2 linked regions of the Arabidopsis thaliana genome follow. Each later gene encodes a partner of the first gene's protein in a complex. Each region holds a gene or a part of one and is shown on either strand. Other genes may lie near its edges.

The links. Proteins that work in one complex are often made in the same cells at the same time.
Region 2: ARP4 (region 1) and SWC2 share a complex: the UniProt entries of both Arabidopsis thaliana proteins name them as parts of the SWR1 chromatin-remodeling complex.

What each region holds. Positions count from the first base shown.
Region 1 is NC_003070.9:6,346,055-6,353,901, forward strand, and holds ARP4 (actin-related protein 4), read left to right. Parts: upstream 1-1,993; 5' UTR 1,994-2,144; coding exon 2,145-2,157; intron 2,158-2,246; coding exon 2,247-2,338; intron 2,339-2,453; coding exon 2,454-2,618; intron 2,619-2,695; coding exon 2,696-2,769; intron 2,770-2,844; coding exon 2,845-2,925; intron 2,926-3,015; coding exon 3,016-3,076; intron 3,077-3,213; coding exon 3,214-3,263; intron 3,264-3,405; coding exon 3,406-3,460; intron 3,461-3,665; coding exon 3,666-3,743; intron 3,744-3,820; coding exon 3,821-3,874; intron 3,875-3,948; coding exon 3,949-4,002; intron 4,003-4,071; coding exon 4,072-4,132; intron 4,133-4,287; coding exon 4,288-4,339; intron 4,340-4,687; coding exon 4,688-4,754; intron 4,755-4,879; coding exon 4,880-4,942; intron 4,943-5,026; coding exon 5,027-5,089; intron 5,090-5,185; coding exon 5,186-5,248; intron 5,249-5,343; coding exon 5,344-5,408; intron 5,409-5,496; coding exon 5,497-5,565; intron 5,566-5,666; and 3 more. Other genes in the region: AT1G18440 (Peptidyl-tRNA hydrolase family protein), read left to right, coding at 1-278, 349-433, 655-722, 836-886, 972-1,045, 1,225-1,283, 1,367-1,443, 1,519-1,632; AT1G18460 (alpha/beta-Hydrolases superfamily protein), read left to right, coding at 6,628-6,668, 7,238-7,411, 7,500-7,847. UniProt on the Arabidopsis thaliana protein: Involved in several developmental processes including organization of plant organs, flowering time, anther development, flower senescence and fertility, probably by regulating the chromatin structure.
Region 2 is NC_003071.7:15,405,132-15,411,857, reverse strand, and holds SWC2 (DNA binding protein SWC2), read left to right. Parts: upstream 1-1,945; 5' UTR 1,946-2,169; intron 2,170-2,403; 5' UTR 2,404-2,427; coding exon 2,428-2,495; intron 2,496-2,633; coding exon 2,634-2,703; intron 2,704-2,880; coding exon 2,881-2,952; intron 2,953-3,054; coding exon 3,055-3,098; intron 3,099-3,182; coding exon 3,183-3,456; intron 3,457-3,557; coding exon 3,558-3,633; intron 3,634-3,706; coding exon 3,707-3,826; intron 3,827-3,919; coding exon 3,920-3,988; intron 3,989-4,087; coding exon 4,088-4,130; intron 4,131-4,345; coding exon 4,346-4,411; coding exon of another isoform or gene 4,412-4,487; exon of another isoform or gene 4,488-4,596; coding exon 4,597-4,792; 3' UTR 4,793-4,811; intron 4,812-4,887; 3' UTR 4,888-5,236; downstream 5,237-6,726. Other genes in the region: UGT73C1 (UDP-glucosyl transferase 73C1), read left to right, coding at 1-1,327; AT2G36730 (Pentatricopeptide repeat (PPR) superfamily protein), read left to right, coding at 5,285-6,726. UniProt on the Arabidopsis thaliana protein: Component of the SWR1 complex which mediates the ATP-dependent exchange of histone H2A for the H2A variant H2A.F/Z leading to transcriptional regulation of selected genes (e.g. FLC) by chromatin remodeling.

The DNA.
Region 1 (7,847 bases):
CACTATTCTTCCGATCACCGGCGACGTTTTTATCGCCGGCATTGCCTTGTCGGAAGCTGACGAAAGGAATAAGAGGTCTCGAAGGCTTGATGTCTCAGTGTTTATCATCATCGTCACAATCATTGTCATTTTCATCGAATTCATTCTCCTCTCAACCGGAATCAGAGTTACTTCAAGCTTTACCTTCTTCGAAGCCAAAATCTCCGCCACTGCAGCTGCCATGGCTCATTGTTGGTTTGGGTAATCCCGGCAAGAAGTACCAGGGCACGCGCCACAACGTATGTCTCTCTCTTGCTTTCTCACTTTGCATTTTCCTTTTCAGCTCGGTAACGTGATCATGAATTGCAGGTTGGTTTTGAGATGGTGGACGCTTTGGCTGATGCAGAAGGCATCTCCATGAACACTGTTAACTTCAAGGCCTTGTTTGGGAAAGGTTCTCTTTTTCATTCTCTTATCTTCTCCATTGTGAATTTTCATTTTGAAATGGTTTTCTTATCTCAAAGTTTGAAACTTTCAAATTTCATACGTCTCAAATGTTTGATGAGGGTGATAGAAACAATGGCTAACTGTTTCCGGAGAATGAATATTGAAATAAATATCATTTTCTGTCTCTGGTTTGTTTCTAACTTTGGGTATTGTTTTCCTTTATCATAGGCGTTATTGGAAATATACCGATTATGCTGGCTAAACCACAAACTTTCATGAACCTAAGTGGTGAGTCTGTAAGTGAGCTCATCGGAAACAAACTTTGGTTTATTTAGTTAACCAATCTCTTTAACTTTTATCACTTGTTATTTTGATTCTTTCTGTTTATGATTGCTGGAATTCTTTGAAGGTTGGACAAATCGTTTCATTTTACAAGATCCCGTTAAAGCAAGTACTTGTGGTATACTTAACCTTCTCTCTCGCTTACTCTCCAAATTCTGGCTCTAGAGTGCATATGCCGTCTTAATTTTTTTTGTCTTTTTCAGGTTTACGATGATTTAGATTTGCCCTTTGGTAAACTACGTTTATTGCCAAAAGGTGGTCACGGAGGCCACAATGGGTACAATGCTTTTCACTCTCTATCTGGCCTGTTGATGTTTTCATTTGTGTTTTAACTTTTAAGTATTGTCTTACTTTTTACTTAAGAAGCAATGTGGATGGATAATAGTTTGCGGTTTCACTATCAAATCATAGAGAAACTCTACAAGAAAACATGATGGGTTGTTCTTTTACTTGCAGGATGAGAAGTATTATAGACCGCCTCAAAGGTAGCCGTGATTTTCCTCGACTAAGAATAGGTACAGTTCTCATTTTTCTCCACTCCGACATATCTTCCCATTTTCTTCTCTGGTTTTGCAAATTGTCGAATGTTTCATTTCAGGGATCGGACGTCCTCCAGGGAAGATGGATACAGCCAATTTTGTTCTCCGCCAGTTCAATAGACAGGAACAGGAAGAGGTAGAAGCAGATTTATCCCATAATTATCTCAAAAAATTTCAGAAAGACATAACCTGATTGTTTTTGGTTTTGCAGTTGGATCACACATTCCAAACCGGGTTAGAGGCAATAAGGATTCTTTTGCTTGAGGGGTTCAACAAAAGTGCAACATTTGTCAACACTCGAAAATCTATGGAGCAACTCAGTTAGAAGTGACATTGTTACATTACATATATTCATATAACAAACTACAAAGTGTTCTTGCTGATTCATTAATAATTTTTTTTTGGTTCCATACTTGAATCCTTTTTGAGCAAATTGTACATCAAAAGATAACCAGATTATTTGTTTATCATAATTTCTATTATGTAACTCGAAAATATGGATTTCAGTATTTGTTCGGCTGTAATTTAAATTATACACTTTCATTAAGCATAGACATTTTATTTGGCAATAAATCAGCTTCGTTTACTGCAAAAAGGGTGGTCACAAAAGTTGGTTCGGTTTAGAAAAATTGTGTTCGGTTCGGTTAGTTTCTTGAATAATTTAAACCCGACGGATTAAATGAGAGGTTTTGTGGTCCCCACAACTCGAACTCAGTAAAACCAAGTCGACCCGATTCAGCTGGATCCGAGATTACAGAGAACCCCGTCCCGTGTTTAAACCCTCCGGCGACAAAGCTCAGATAGAGAACCGCTCCACCCTTGTCGTTCGCTGCAGCCATGTACGGCGGAGGTGGGTTTCTCTTTAAACCCTTGAATTGCTTTGTCGTTTATCTTTTGAGACATTCCTGAGCTGTTTTTTTCCGTGGTGGGTTTTCACAGATGAAGTGTCAGCTATTGTGGTTGACTTGGGTTCGCACACTTGCAAGGCTGGTTACGCCGGTGAAGATGCTCCCAAGGCCGTTTTCCCTTCCGTAAGTCTTAATTACCAGCATTTTATGTCACTATAAGCTTAATGGTGTTATTGTAGATTTGCTCAAGTCCCTTGTATCTTCAGACTCTTAGTTTTTTTTTTGATGTGTTCATAAGGTTATTGGGGCAGTAGATGGTGTAGAGGCAATGGATGTGGATGTTGATTCTACAAAGACTAATTCGAACTCTGAGGATTCGAAGACCGAGTCTGAAAAGGAAAAGAGCAAACGCAAGCTCTATGTAGGATCTCAAGCCATGAGCTACCGCAGAGATCATATGGAGGTTAGTTTTTCTCCTTGATTAATGTTAAAGTTTATAACTTTGTTGGTGAAATTACAGATTGCATTTTCTCTCACCAGGTTTTGTCACCTATAAAAGATGGCATCGTTTCTGACTGGGATTTGGTGGACAATATATGGGAACATGCTTTCAAGTAAATGTGTAAAGCATTATATTTTCTCTTAATTGTTGTTTGCATTTCATCTCTAAAAAAACTTTGTCTTTTAAGGAGTTGTCTGATGATTGATCCTACGGAGCATCCAATGCTGCTAGCTGAGCCTCCTTTAAACACTCAACAGCAGAGAGAGAAGTATGATTTATCTGCTTTGAAATATCCTTTATTACCACTGTTGCTTTATCTTGGTGTGTTACTGATTTTCTCAAATCATATGCTTGACAGGGCGGCAGAGCTAATGTTTGAAAAGTACAAAGTTCCGGCACTGTTTATGGCTAAGAACCCTGTATATTCCCTCTCCCTTGGGTCATCATTCTTTTTGATAGATTATTATATGACGTTCACTGTAATGTTGATATCCAGTCAGCTCTTGTGTAATCAGATGTCTAACTATCTACATGAATTTGGTGTTTTTGGTGCTAGGTTCTCACGTCTTTTGCTACTGGGCGTGCTACTTCTTTGGTTGTTGACTGGTAAGACTTTAAGTATTAAAAGTTTCTCTAGTATGTAGAAGCTACTAATGTTCCACTTCTGCTCTATATGCTGTGAAAGTCTACCTTGTTCTGTATGGTGTATAATTTGAGAAGCACTGATGACACTTTATTGTATTTCTAGCGGTGGAGGATCCACAACCATTTCACCGGTGCATGATGGTTATGTTCTTCAGAAGGTACTTGTATTACACGATTTAGTAAGAATTCAGCTTTGTGATGCTGTTTCTTTGGGTTTGGATTTTGTACTGCAGGAGAAAGTTTCCCATCTCTCGTTTCCATAGTCATCTGTAGCTGCTATAAATTCTCATCCATGTGAATTATGACCTACAGCATTGATGTAGATTGTGATTCTCCGATTGTTGACCATACTTTTATTCGCAGGCTGTTGTATCGTCTCCACTTGGAGGGGAATTTCTCACTGACTGCCTACTGAAAAGCTTGGAGAGTAAAGGAATTAAAGTAGGTTAAAAAAATTCTTCACTGTTCTTTTCTTTTAAGCCAAATTATCTGAGTGATACTGGTTATTTTTTCTGCAGATAAGACCTAGATACTCTTTCAAGAGGAAGGAAGTACGAGCAGGGGAATTCCAGGTGCATATGTGGATCAGTGAATGAAACTACTAGCAGTGAATAGTCTCTAATTTCCTCCCTTTGAATCCTTGCAGGTTGAAGATGTGGATATTCCTGACACCACGGAAAGCTACAAACTCTTCTGCCAGGTCTGTAATTGATTATGAAACTTCGTTTGAAAATTTCAGTTGTGATAATTTGGTGATTTGTTTCAACAGAGGATGATAGTGGGTGATATCAAGGATTCCATTTGTCGAGTTCCTGATACTCCCTATGACGGTACCTTATGTTATTCTGTCTGTCTCTGGTTTCATAAATTTGTTTTATTTCAAAGTTTAAAGTTGCTTGAGAGTTGAACGTTAGATACTTTTTATCTTTCAATGTCATTTGATCGCATAGCCTTAGTTTTTCTGATGTGATGCATTTATCTGCAGATAAATCATATTCAAACATCCCTACTACGTCGTACGAGCTTCCTGATGGCCAGTAAGCTCAGTTTATATGTCTATTTCGGTTTATTTGTGCCTCAAATGTACATGCTACTGTTGCTTTTGTTTTCTACGTATAAGGTTTGAGCTTAGTTTCTAGCCAAATGTACCACTGCTCTGAACCTTGTTTAAGCTGAGATAAGTGCTTAGTTGGATCTGAGTCATTAAAGCCATTGGGCATAAAAGTTTAGAAGAGTCAGACATTGCTTTGGAAACCTGCATGGAACCTAATGTTCATAATGAGAATTAAGTTAAAAGAAAAAGTGCTAGCTTCATTGAAGACAGGAAGCTGCACCTGTAATTTTTGTAGTCTTTCTCAATATCTTATTAACCATGTCTGTTGAAGGACGCTCGAGATTGGTGCTGATAGGTTCAAAGTTCCTGATGTGATGTTCAACCCGTCCATAGTCCAGGTACACCATTTGAGCACGATAAATTCAACAGAAGATTCTGAAGACATTTTGTTTCTTATCTTGAGCGTTTTGAGCCTCGAATTATTTATCAAAGGTTTCTTCTCCGTTTTTATTGCAATTTGCAGACGATTCCTGGAATGGAGAAGTATGCTGAGATGATTCCTTCCGTTCGTGGGTTACCACACATGGTATATGCATGGTATTTAGTCATTGCAAAGCTTCCATCTCTTAACTTTTTCTAACTTTACTCTCCATTTTACTGACTTGTACAGGTCATGGAGAGCATCAACAAATGTGATGTAGACATCCGGAGAGAGTTGTATAGTAGCATACTGGTAAAATAGCAATCAATGCCAACTCTTAAATACCCCTACTTTTAGTTTCGTTGGATGTGGATGATTAACATTTCCTTTCTTCTCGCATTATGCCAGCTTGCTGGTGGCACATCGTCAATGCAACAGCTGAAAGAACGTCTCGAAAAGGACTTGATCGAAGTATTGTGTCCTAAACTCTTTTCCTCTGTCTTTAAAGCTATCCCAGTTTTTATGATGGCGAAAATCATTCATTGGTCCCTCTATCTTTGTTTCAGGAGTCTCCTCACTCAGCTAGAGTTAAAGTGTTGGCAAGCGGTAACACAACAGAAAGAAGATTCAGGTCTGGATTTAGTGTTCACTTCTTCCTCTATAATGAGACCCAAATTTTTTTGCTTGGATCAACCAACAAACATGTTATGTATGTGCAGTGTATGGATAGGAGGGAGTATATTGGCATCACTAGGCTCATTTCAACAGATGTGGTTCTCCAAGTCTGAGTAAGTCTCTGTTCTGATTTTCCATTAATCAGACTCGCAAAGAAACTATAGTTTGTTTTCTCTCCTGACACTCGGATTTGGGGTCTTGGTGTAAATGGCAGGTATGAGGAACATGGAGCTTCCTACATTCAGAGAAAATGCCCTTAAAGCAGGCAGTTTCAGATTATGTGGAGTCTGACAAGACGAAACTTGGAAACTAATGTGTTATTTTCATTGTGCATCGTTGTTCCTTGAAGATTATTAGTATTCCGCCTGAACCTTTTAGAATGAGTGTCATTAACAAGCATTATAGTGCTATTTTAAAAACATAAAAACATGTGGAAGAAGTTTCGTTGCTTTATTAGATTTTCGCACAATCAAGACCGTCCACGTTTTGTTACTACGAACCAAGATAATCCACAAAATTAACAAGAAAATAACAAATCCGAAACTACAAAAAGCAGCTTCATAAGTTTTCTTTTTCTTTTTTAAAAAAGAAGAAAAAATCAGCTTTATCGTGCCTCTCAAAAAGCTAATGACTTCGAAGTTCCAAAATTCCGGTCTTCGAACATATTTTATAGAATAGCAAAATGTTTTGAACCACAAGATTATTAATAATATAAATAATGTAATTGATATTGGTAAGTAATAATACTTTTATTAATCATAAAATGGTCTGAATAATAATAAAGACAAAATGGACGTAACTTCTCCGCCACTACAGACTTACGTGTCATGTCTCCATATCCGCATGCAAAATCCAATAGATGACACATTCTAAATCATCCAATTATATACGCCCACGTGTCAACCTCTGTCTCGTCTCTCTAAATAACGTTTACCGACCTTCTCTTGTGGACGGTAAGAATCGCCGGCGTCCCCTAATATATCGGATTTCAATCCAAAGACACACTCACAATTTAAAAAAAAACGTTTCTTTTCTCTTCGATTCCCGATTACGGCTTTTGATTTTGTGGGACTCTTCTCAGTTTTTCTGGGCTTTTGGTTTTTGGATTCTATCTTCTTTCATTTTTCAGATTTTTTATTTTATTTTGTTGTATTTCTATATTGGGAAACAAAATCATGCAGAGGATCGTCGATAATGCTCTTGCTATCACAAAAGAGTGAGTCCCTCTCTCTTTTCGATTTCACCATTAGTCTGTGCACGCTTATTGATTTTGTGATTTCTGATTTGTTTTTTTAGTTGCATGTTTAGTGGTTTTAGTAATTTGATATGTGATTTCAACTGTTTTGTTTCCTTAATTTGGATTTTAATTCGATTAGATTTTCTCAAATAGTAATTCGATTTGCTTTAGATATGGAAGTTGCCAAATTTTGAGCCAGTGGTTTTATAGTGGAGCTAGGAGCTAAGTCTATATCTTATATCTTCTGATTTACATTAATCTTGAGATTTAGTGGTATATAGTTTTACTAATTTGGGGATACATTTCTGATTTACCATTTTTAGTTAGTTGTTGAAGGTTTGTTGTCTCTTTGAAGAAAGTATACATATTGACTCTTTGTCCTGTAATAATTACAGCGATTCTCGTTGTATCTGCGGATAGTTTTCTTTGTTTAATGCTTGTCTGTTTGGGTTTTTGGTGTTCGTTGTGGGTTTTTGATTGGTATTAGGATTGTTTGTGTTAGTCTAAAATAGTTTTAAGCTAACTAATGATTTTGGTTTTTAGTGCAGGTCAGTGAAAACTCTGACTTATGAGTCTTTGAACAACATTGCAAGATGCATTAATGGATTTTCTGCGCTTCTCTTGACACTTTTGCCCGGAAAGTCCAATGTTCTTGAAGGTCTTCATGGATGGGAGCTTAGGCCTACATTGCGTGGACCTCGTTTACCACGCTGGATGCATAAGTAAAACTCTCTTCAACTCTCTAATACTTCTTTGTGGTTACCTTATAGCAGCTTATTCGACTCTCTTTTGATTTCTGTGGTTTTGCAGTGGAGTCTCTTCTTTCAACCACTTCATTCACGAACTCTCTGTGGATTCTGATACTTCTAGCTTGGACTATTCCTCTGGTGATGATGATAGTGATGGCATGTCCACGCCTCCATCACCCTTGTCTCAAAGCTCACTCCGCTCTTGGGCTAGTCTTCCTGCCAATTACGAAAGCCATTGGACAGACTGGATAACCTTCATTGTCTGGTGGGCTTTACTACCTGCCCGGATCCTTCTATGGGTACCATTATATCTTTTACGTCTTTTAGCTAGAAGAAATTCAAGAATGCAGCCTCTGAGCCCAGGAAGGTACCAACATTCGTCTAGACCTTGTTTTAGCAAAGCTATCTC
Region 2 (6,726 bases), on another chromosome or scaffold:
GTTCAAGAACGTTCTTAGCCGGGCTATCCAATCCGGCTTGCCCATCAATCTCGTGCAAGTAAAGTTTCCATCTCAAGAATCGGGTTCACCGGAAGGACAGGAGAATTTGGACTTGCTCGATTCATTGGGGGCTTCATTAACCTTCTTCAAAGCATTTAGCCTGCTCGAGGAACCAGTCGAGAAGCTCTTGAAAGAGATTCAACCTAGGCCAAACTGCATAATCGCTGACATGTGTTTGCCTTATACAAACAGAATTGCCAAGAATCTTGGTATACCAAAAATCATCTTTCATGGCATGTGTTGCTTCAATCTTCTTTGTACGCACATAATGCACCAAAACCACGAGTTCTTGGAAACTATAGAGTCTGACAAGGAATACTTCCCCATTCCTAATTTCCCTGACAGAGTTGAGTTCACAAAATCTCAGCTTCCAATGGTATTAGTTGCTGGAGATTGGAAAGACTTCCTTGACGGAATGACAGAAGGGGATAACACTTCTTATGGTGTGATTGTTAACACGTTTGAAGAGCTCGAGCCAGCTTATGTTAGAGACTACAAGAAGGTTAAAGCGGGTAAGATATGGAGCATCGGACCGGTTTCCTTGTGCAACAAGTTAGGAGAAGACCAAGCTGAGAGGGGAAACAAGGCGGACATTGATCAAGACGAGTGTATTAAATGGCTTGATTCTAAAGAAGAAGGGTCGGTGCTATATGTTTGCCTTGGAAGTATATGCAATCTTCCTCTGTCTCAGCTCAAAGAGCTCGGCTTAGGCCTCGAGGAATCCCAAAGACCTTTCATTTGGGTCATAAGAGGTTGGGAGAAGTATAACGAGTTACTTGAATGGATCTCAGAGAGCGGTTATAAGGAAAGAATCAAAGAAAGAGGCCTTCTCATAACAGGATGGTCGCCTCAAATGCTTATCCTTACACATCCTGCCGTTGGAGGATTCTTGACACATTGTGGATGGAACTCTACTCTTGAAGGAATCACTTCAGGCGTTCCATTACTCACGTGGCCACTGTTTGGAGACCAATTCTGCAATGAGAAATTGGCGGTGCAGATACTAAAAGCCGGTGTGAGAGCTGGGGTTGAAGAGTCCATGAGATGGGGAGAAGAGGAGAAAATAGGAGTACTGGTGGATAAAGAAGGAGTAAAGAAGGCAGTGGAGGAATTGATGGGTGATAGTAATGATGCTAAGGAGAGAAGAAAAAGAGTGAAAGAGCTTGGAGAATTAGCTCACAAGGCTGTGGAAGAAGGAGGCTCTTCTCATTCCAACATCACATTCTTGCTACAAGACATAATGCAATTAGAACAACCCAAGAAATGATTGTAACTTTTCTTAGATTGTAACTTTTCTTTTGTATTACCCAAAAAAAATGATTGTGACGTTTGTTCTCGATTACTTCTCTTTGTTCAAGAACAATTTATGATAGTTTTATTTGAAATTGTCTCTATTATCGAATCTTATACTAACATCTTAGTTAGTACATACTTATTAAGCATTCGAATTCGTACACTCAAATTGAAGAAAAAAACACAATTTCTTATATACTTTTTTTTTTTCTGTAGCTTTAGAAGAGTGTAGAAACCTTCTCCAGTGGTCCTGCATGAGATCGCAACTTCGATATTGCTTGCTCCTTGGAGTTTAGAGGAGTGTAGAAACACTTTTTGTTTGTTTACTTTTGCTTTCTCGATCATGACAAGTTGACAACTCGTGTTATATCCAAAATGACATCATGCATGACTTGAAAATTGAAATCTATCTATGATATTACCATTTCTGGACAATTTTGTTAACCGATTTATATATCTTAACATCTTTCTTTTTTGGTATTATTTACGTTACGATTTTTCATCGTAAATTTAATTTAAAATTTTATATATGCCAGTGTAAAAAGAAATTACTCAAGGTCATTAATAAAAATAAAAATAAAACGTTTTTCCCCAGCGGTCTATCATTGTAAGTTTTATTTTACAAAAAGAATCTTCTAATATAATATGGGCTTTGAAAATGTCTAAGTGGAAGGCCCATTAATATCTCAAGTCCAATAACAATGGTGTACGAACCAGCGGCACCGTGTGTGAAAGAGTGAATCAAAGAGGTGCGGCGGTCGCCGGCGAAGACGTGTGCTCGTCGAAGAAACTTCTCCAACCTAAAATTTTCCGAAGGTAACTCCTCGAGCGAGATTTTAAGCTCATCACACAAATTACTTTTCATTCTCGCTTTCATGGGCTCTTCTTCGATTACTGTGTACATCACTCAAATTTTGGGTTTTTGTTCCTGTTTCCCTCTCGATATAATCGTAAAGTCTTGAAATTGCGAGAAACCCTAATTTGGGGGTTCCTTGCTGATTTGTTAATTTGTGTGTTATGACATTTTCGTTTAAATTTGTGAACTTGTAGAAGTAAGAGTTGAGCAAGTTATCAATGGAAATCGATGAAGAAGAGCCAATGGTGTTCTTGGACCGTACAACAAGAGCAACACGGGGTAAACGGTAAGAATTACTTGAGCTTAAGCTTTTACCTGATGAATGTGTTTCACCTGAAGATTGTGGTTTTGTCTCACTGTTATTGAGATGTATCAGAAACTCTCTTGTGGAAGCTTTATTCATCAGTTTTCTGTTTTTTTTCAGGATGACCAAGTTGCTTGATGACGAAGTAGAAGAAGATGAACAGTTTTGGAATCAAGAAGCTCTTAAAGAGGTTTGTTTTGTTTTATATATAGCTTACTCTCTTAAAGAGATGTTAATGATTTGTTAAGGTAGACTAGATGTCAAAATATATAATGGAAAAAAATCAGATTTGTAGACAAGATACTATCGCAGAAACTTTCGTGTGTTTGCTGACATTTATGTATCTCTTTACTTTTGTTATCTGCAGGAAGAACATGATGATGAATATGAAGCAGAACGTGAGGTTGCTGATGAGTTTGACAGTGACTTCAATGACGATGTATTTATGTCTTGCTTATGTATTGAGTACTTATTCATCAAGGTTTTTGCTTATATTTCCATTCTTTTTAATTTCTTTCTTTTGCCTTTTGTTTGGGATTAGGAGCCTGAGCCTGATGCAGTCGCTGTAAATGAAAAAGAATTGAGGTTTGAATTTTTTCAAAGCTTGTCTTATGATGGCTATTATGTGTGTCTGTTTTAATTTTGTTACAATTTTGCATATTGTTGTAGGGATCTGCCAAAGAAGCGGCTGATTTACCCTGGGAAAACTGCTTCAAAGAAAAAGAAAAAGAAGACGAAGGTAGTTTCACAACTAGAATATATTCCTGGAGATGAGAAGCCAGGTGAAGAATTGGGAAACAAGGAACAAGAAGAAAAAGAAGAGAATGAAGCACAAGAAGATATGGAAGGTGAGAAAGTCATTAGGAAATCAACACGGACTTCAGTGGTTGTACGGCAAGCAGAAAGAGATGCATTGCGTGCTGCTATACAAGCAACAACAAAGGTTTCTCAGAACTCATCCCCACTAGCTATTTACATTCATGGCTACACTTTAATCTCTTTTCTAAGTCTTGCCATGTTGAATTCTTTTTTGTGTTTGTTCAGCCAATACAAAGGAAAAAAGTAGGGGAGGAAAAACGGATGACCCAAGAAGAAATGCTGCTGGAAGCTGCTCAAACAGGTTTGGCTTTTATGATGCTGCATCTGATTTGCTCTATCAGAAACTCAAAATTGCTAAAGTCAGGTTCTTGCAGAAATCATGAACTTGAGGAATTTAGAACGTGTCTTGGCAAGGGAAGAAGAAGTAAAAAAGAAAGCGATTGTGCATAAAGCAGTCTACAAGGGTCCTCAGATTCGGTATCATTCAAAAGATGGTAAGCTCTCCAGTAAAATAGTAATCCAGTCTAATTGGATCTTTCCAGAAAAGTAAGAACTATATTTGTTTAAACTTTTAACTTTACATGCAGGATGTAACTATTTAGAATTCTGTAATGGTGCGTCATTCAATTCAGAGTTGTCGACGAAGTCTGTTCCCTGTAAGTAATTTTGAGTGGTGTTTGGAGATGAACATAAATGTGTTCATATTGATCTATACTGATCTCTGTCTTTCTTTTGGTTTGTTTTCTCTTTTCCAGATCCAGAAAAAGCTGTATGTGTGATTACGGGATTACCTGCCAAGTAAGAGTTTTTCTGTTCTTCTTCTTTATTCATCGGAAGAACAAGATCTCTGGGATGAACACAAGTAGACTCTCTTAGGTCTACTAAAAAGAAGTTATCAGTTTCTTTGATATATACTTCTCGAAAAGAAATGATGTTATAACCTAGAAACCTGATTATCTTTTCTCTGCAATTTTAGAACTAGTTCTTAGCTGTTGTGTGTATTGCTGATACAGGTACCGGGATCCAAAAACGGGTCTTCCTTATGCAACTAGAGACGCCTTCAAAGCAATACGTGAAAGGTGTTGCTTGATCCAATTATTGCTGCATCGATGTTTTCACTTGTCTATAGAAGTATTCATCTGTTGTTTCCTCTAACGGATCAAGCAAATGAATGTTATCGAGTGAAACAGGCCTTTGATATTTACATTGTCTTTATTAGTGTTAGAATCTGATATTTCCCAGTCTTATGTTTATTGTTCTGAAGGTTCATGGACGAACATGATGGTTTGAGAAAGAAAATGGAGATGGGAGATTTGTTTGATACACTAGTGGCGAAAGGTTTTGCAACAAAACAAAAGAGAACGAAGATTCCAAAGAGTAACAAATCATTTTCCCTCAGAAGCTCAGCTCGTTTCCTTAGCTCCGAGTCTGAAGAAGAGAGTGAAGAAGATTCAGATTAATAAACACCTCCCTGATTTGGTTAGTATATTAATATAAAGCCTTTAGTTTTCATGAAACATGATCATGAACTCACAGTTGTAATCATGCTCTGCAGAATCTGCATCTCACATGATTGTGATACATCATTCATGGATCTTCCCACGACCATGGTTTTGGTTCTCAGAGATTAGAAGCGAGAAGAACATTCATGGAGGAAATTTTCATGATCAGAGCTTTGAAATGGAAACAACAACACTCTAATCAGAGATTGATCCTCCTAACCAAAACCTCTGACACCCATCTCAGAATCAGAGAGAAAGTGTAATCTTCTGTATATTACTGACCTTGTAAAGATGATATGTTTTGGTTGATAAATATCAATTTCACATTAAACCGAACCGAATAAGCTTTTGATTTTACTTCGGTTCCGTTAAAACCGTTCCAAATCTATAAATATATCACCGATTTGAAAATTGAAACTTTTTGCGATTTCTAAGAGCTCCAATGGCATAATGATTTGGAGTTCAGATTCATGCTTCAAATCCAGGAAACACCAATGTCTTATCTTCCTCAAGCTATGTTCCTCAATTAAACACCTTCTACAGATCCATGGTCAAATCCATCTCTCCTCTCTCCAAAATGACAGCTTTATCATCAGCGAGCTTGTACGGGTTTCATCACTATCCCTCGCCAAAGACCTTGCCTTTGCGCGAACCCTTCTGCTTCACTCTTCAGATTCGACTCCTTCTACTTGGAATATGCTCAGTAGAGGCTATTCTTCAAGTGATTCTCCTGTGGAATCGATTTGGGTTTACTCTGAGATGAAGAGACGAGGAATCAAACCTAATAAGCTCACTTTTCCTTTTCTTCTCAAGGCTTGTGCTTCGTTTTTAGGTCTCACTGCTGGGAGACAGATTCAAGTTGAGGTTTTGAAACATGGGTTTGATTTTGATGTATATGTTGGGAACAATTTGATCCATCTTTATGGTACTTGTAAGAAAACTTCTGATGCCAGGAAGGTGTTCGACGAAATGACTGAGAGAAATGTTGTTTCTTGGAACTCGATTATGACTGCTCTTGTTGAGAATGGTAAGTTAAATTTGGTGTTTGAGTGTTTTTGTGAGATGATTGGTAAGCGGTTTTGTCCAGATGAGACGACAATGGTGGTTTTGCTTTCGGCTTGTGGCGGTAACTTGAGCTTGGGGAAATTGGTGCATTCACAGGTGATGGTAAGAGAGTTAGAGTTAAACTGTAGACTAGGTACTGCACTTGTAGACATGTATGCAAAATCAGGTGGATTAGAGTATGCTAGGTTAGTTTTCGAAAGAATGGTTGACAAAAATGTTTGGACTTGGAGTGCCATGATTGTAGGATTAGCACAATATGGATTTGCAGAAGAAGCCCTTCAACTATTCTCGAAGATGATGAAAGAATCATCGGTGAGACCAAACTACGTAACATTTCTCGGTGTTTTATGCGCTTGTAGCCACACGGGATTGGTGGATGACGGGTACAAATATTTCCACGAAATGGAGAAAATACACAAGATCAAACCAATGATGATTCACTACGGAGCAATGGTAGATATCTTGGGACGTGCAGGTCGACTAAACGAGGCGTATGACTTCATAAAGAAAATGCCTTTTGAGCCTGATGCGGTTGTTTGGAGGACTCTACTCTCCGCTTGTAGTATCCATCACGATGAAGATGATGAGGGAATTGGTGAGAAAGTAAAGAAGAGATTGATTGAGTTAGAACCAAAGAGGAGTGGGAATTTGGTGATTGTGGCGAATAGGTTTGCGGAAGCGAGGATGTGGGCTGAGGCAGCAGAAGTTAGGAGAGTAATGAAGGAAACTAAGATGAAGAAGATCGCCGGAGAGAGTTGTCTAGAGCTAGGAGGGTCGTTTCATAGATTCTTCTCAGGGTATGATCCTCGTTCTGAATATGTATCCAT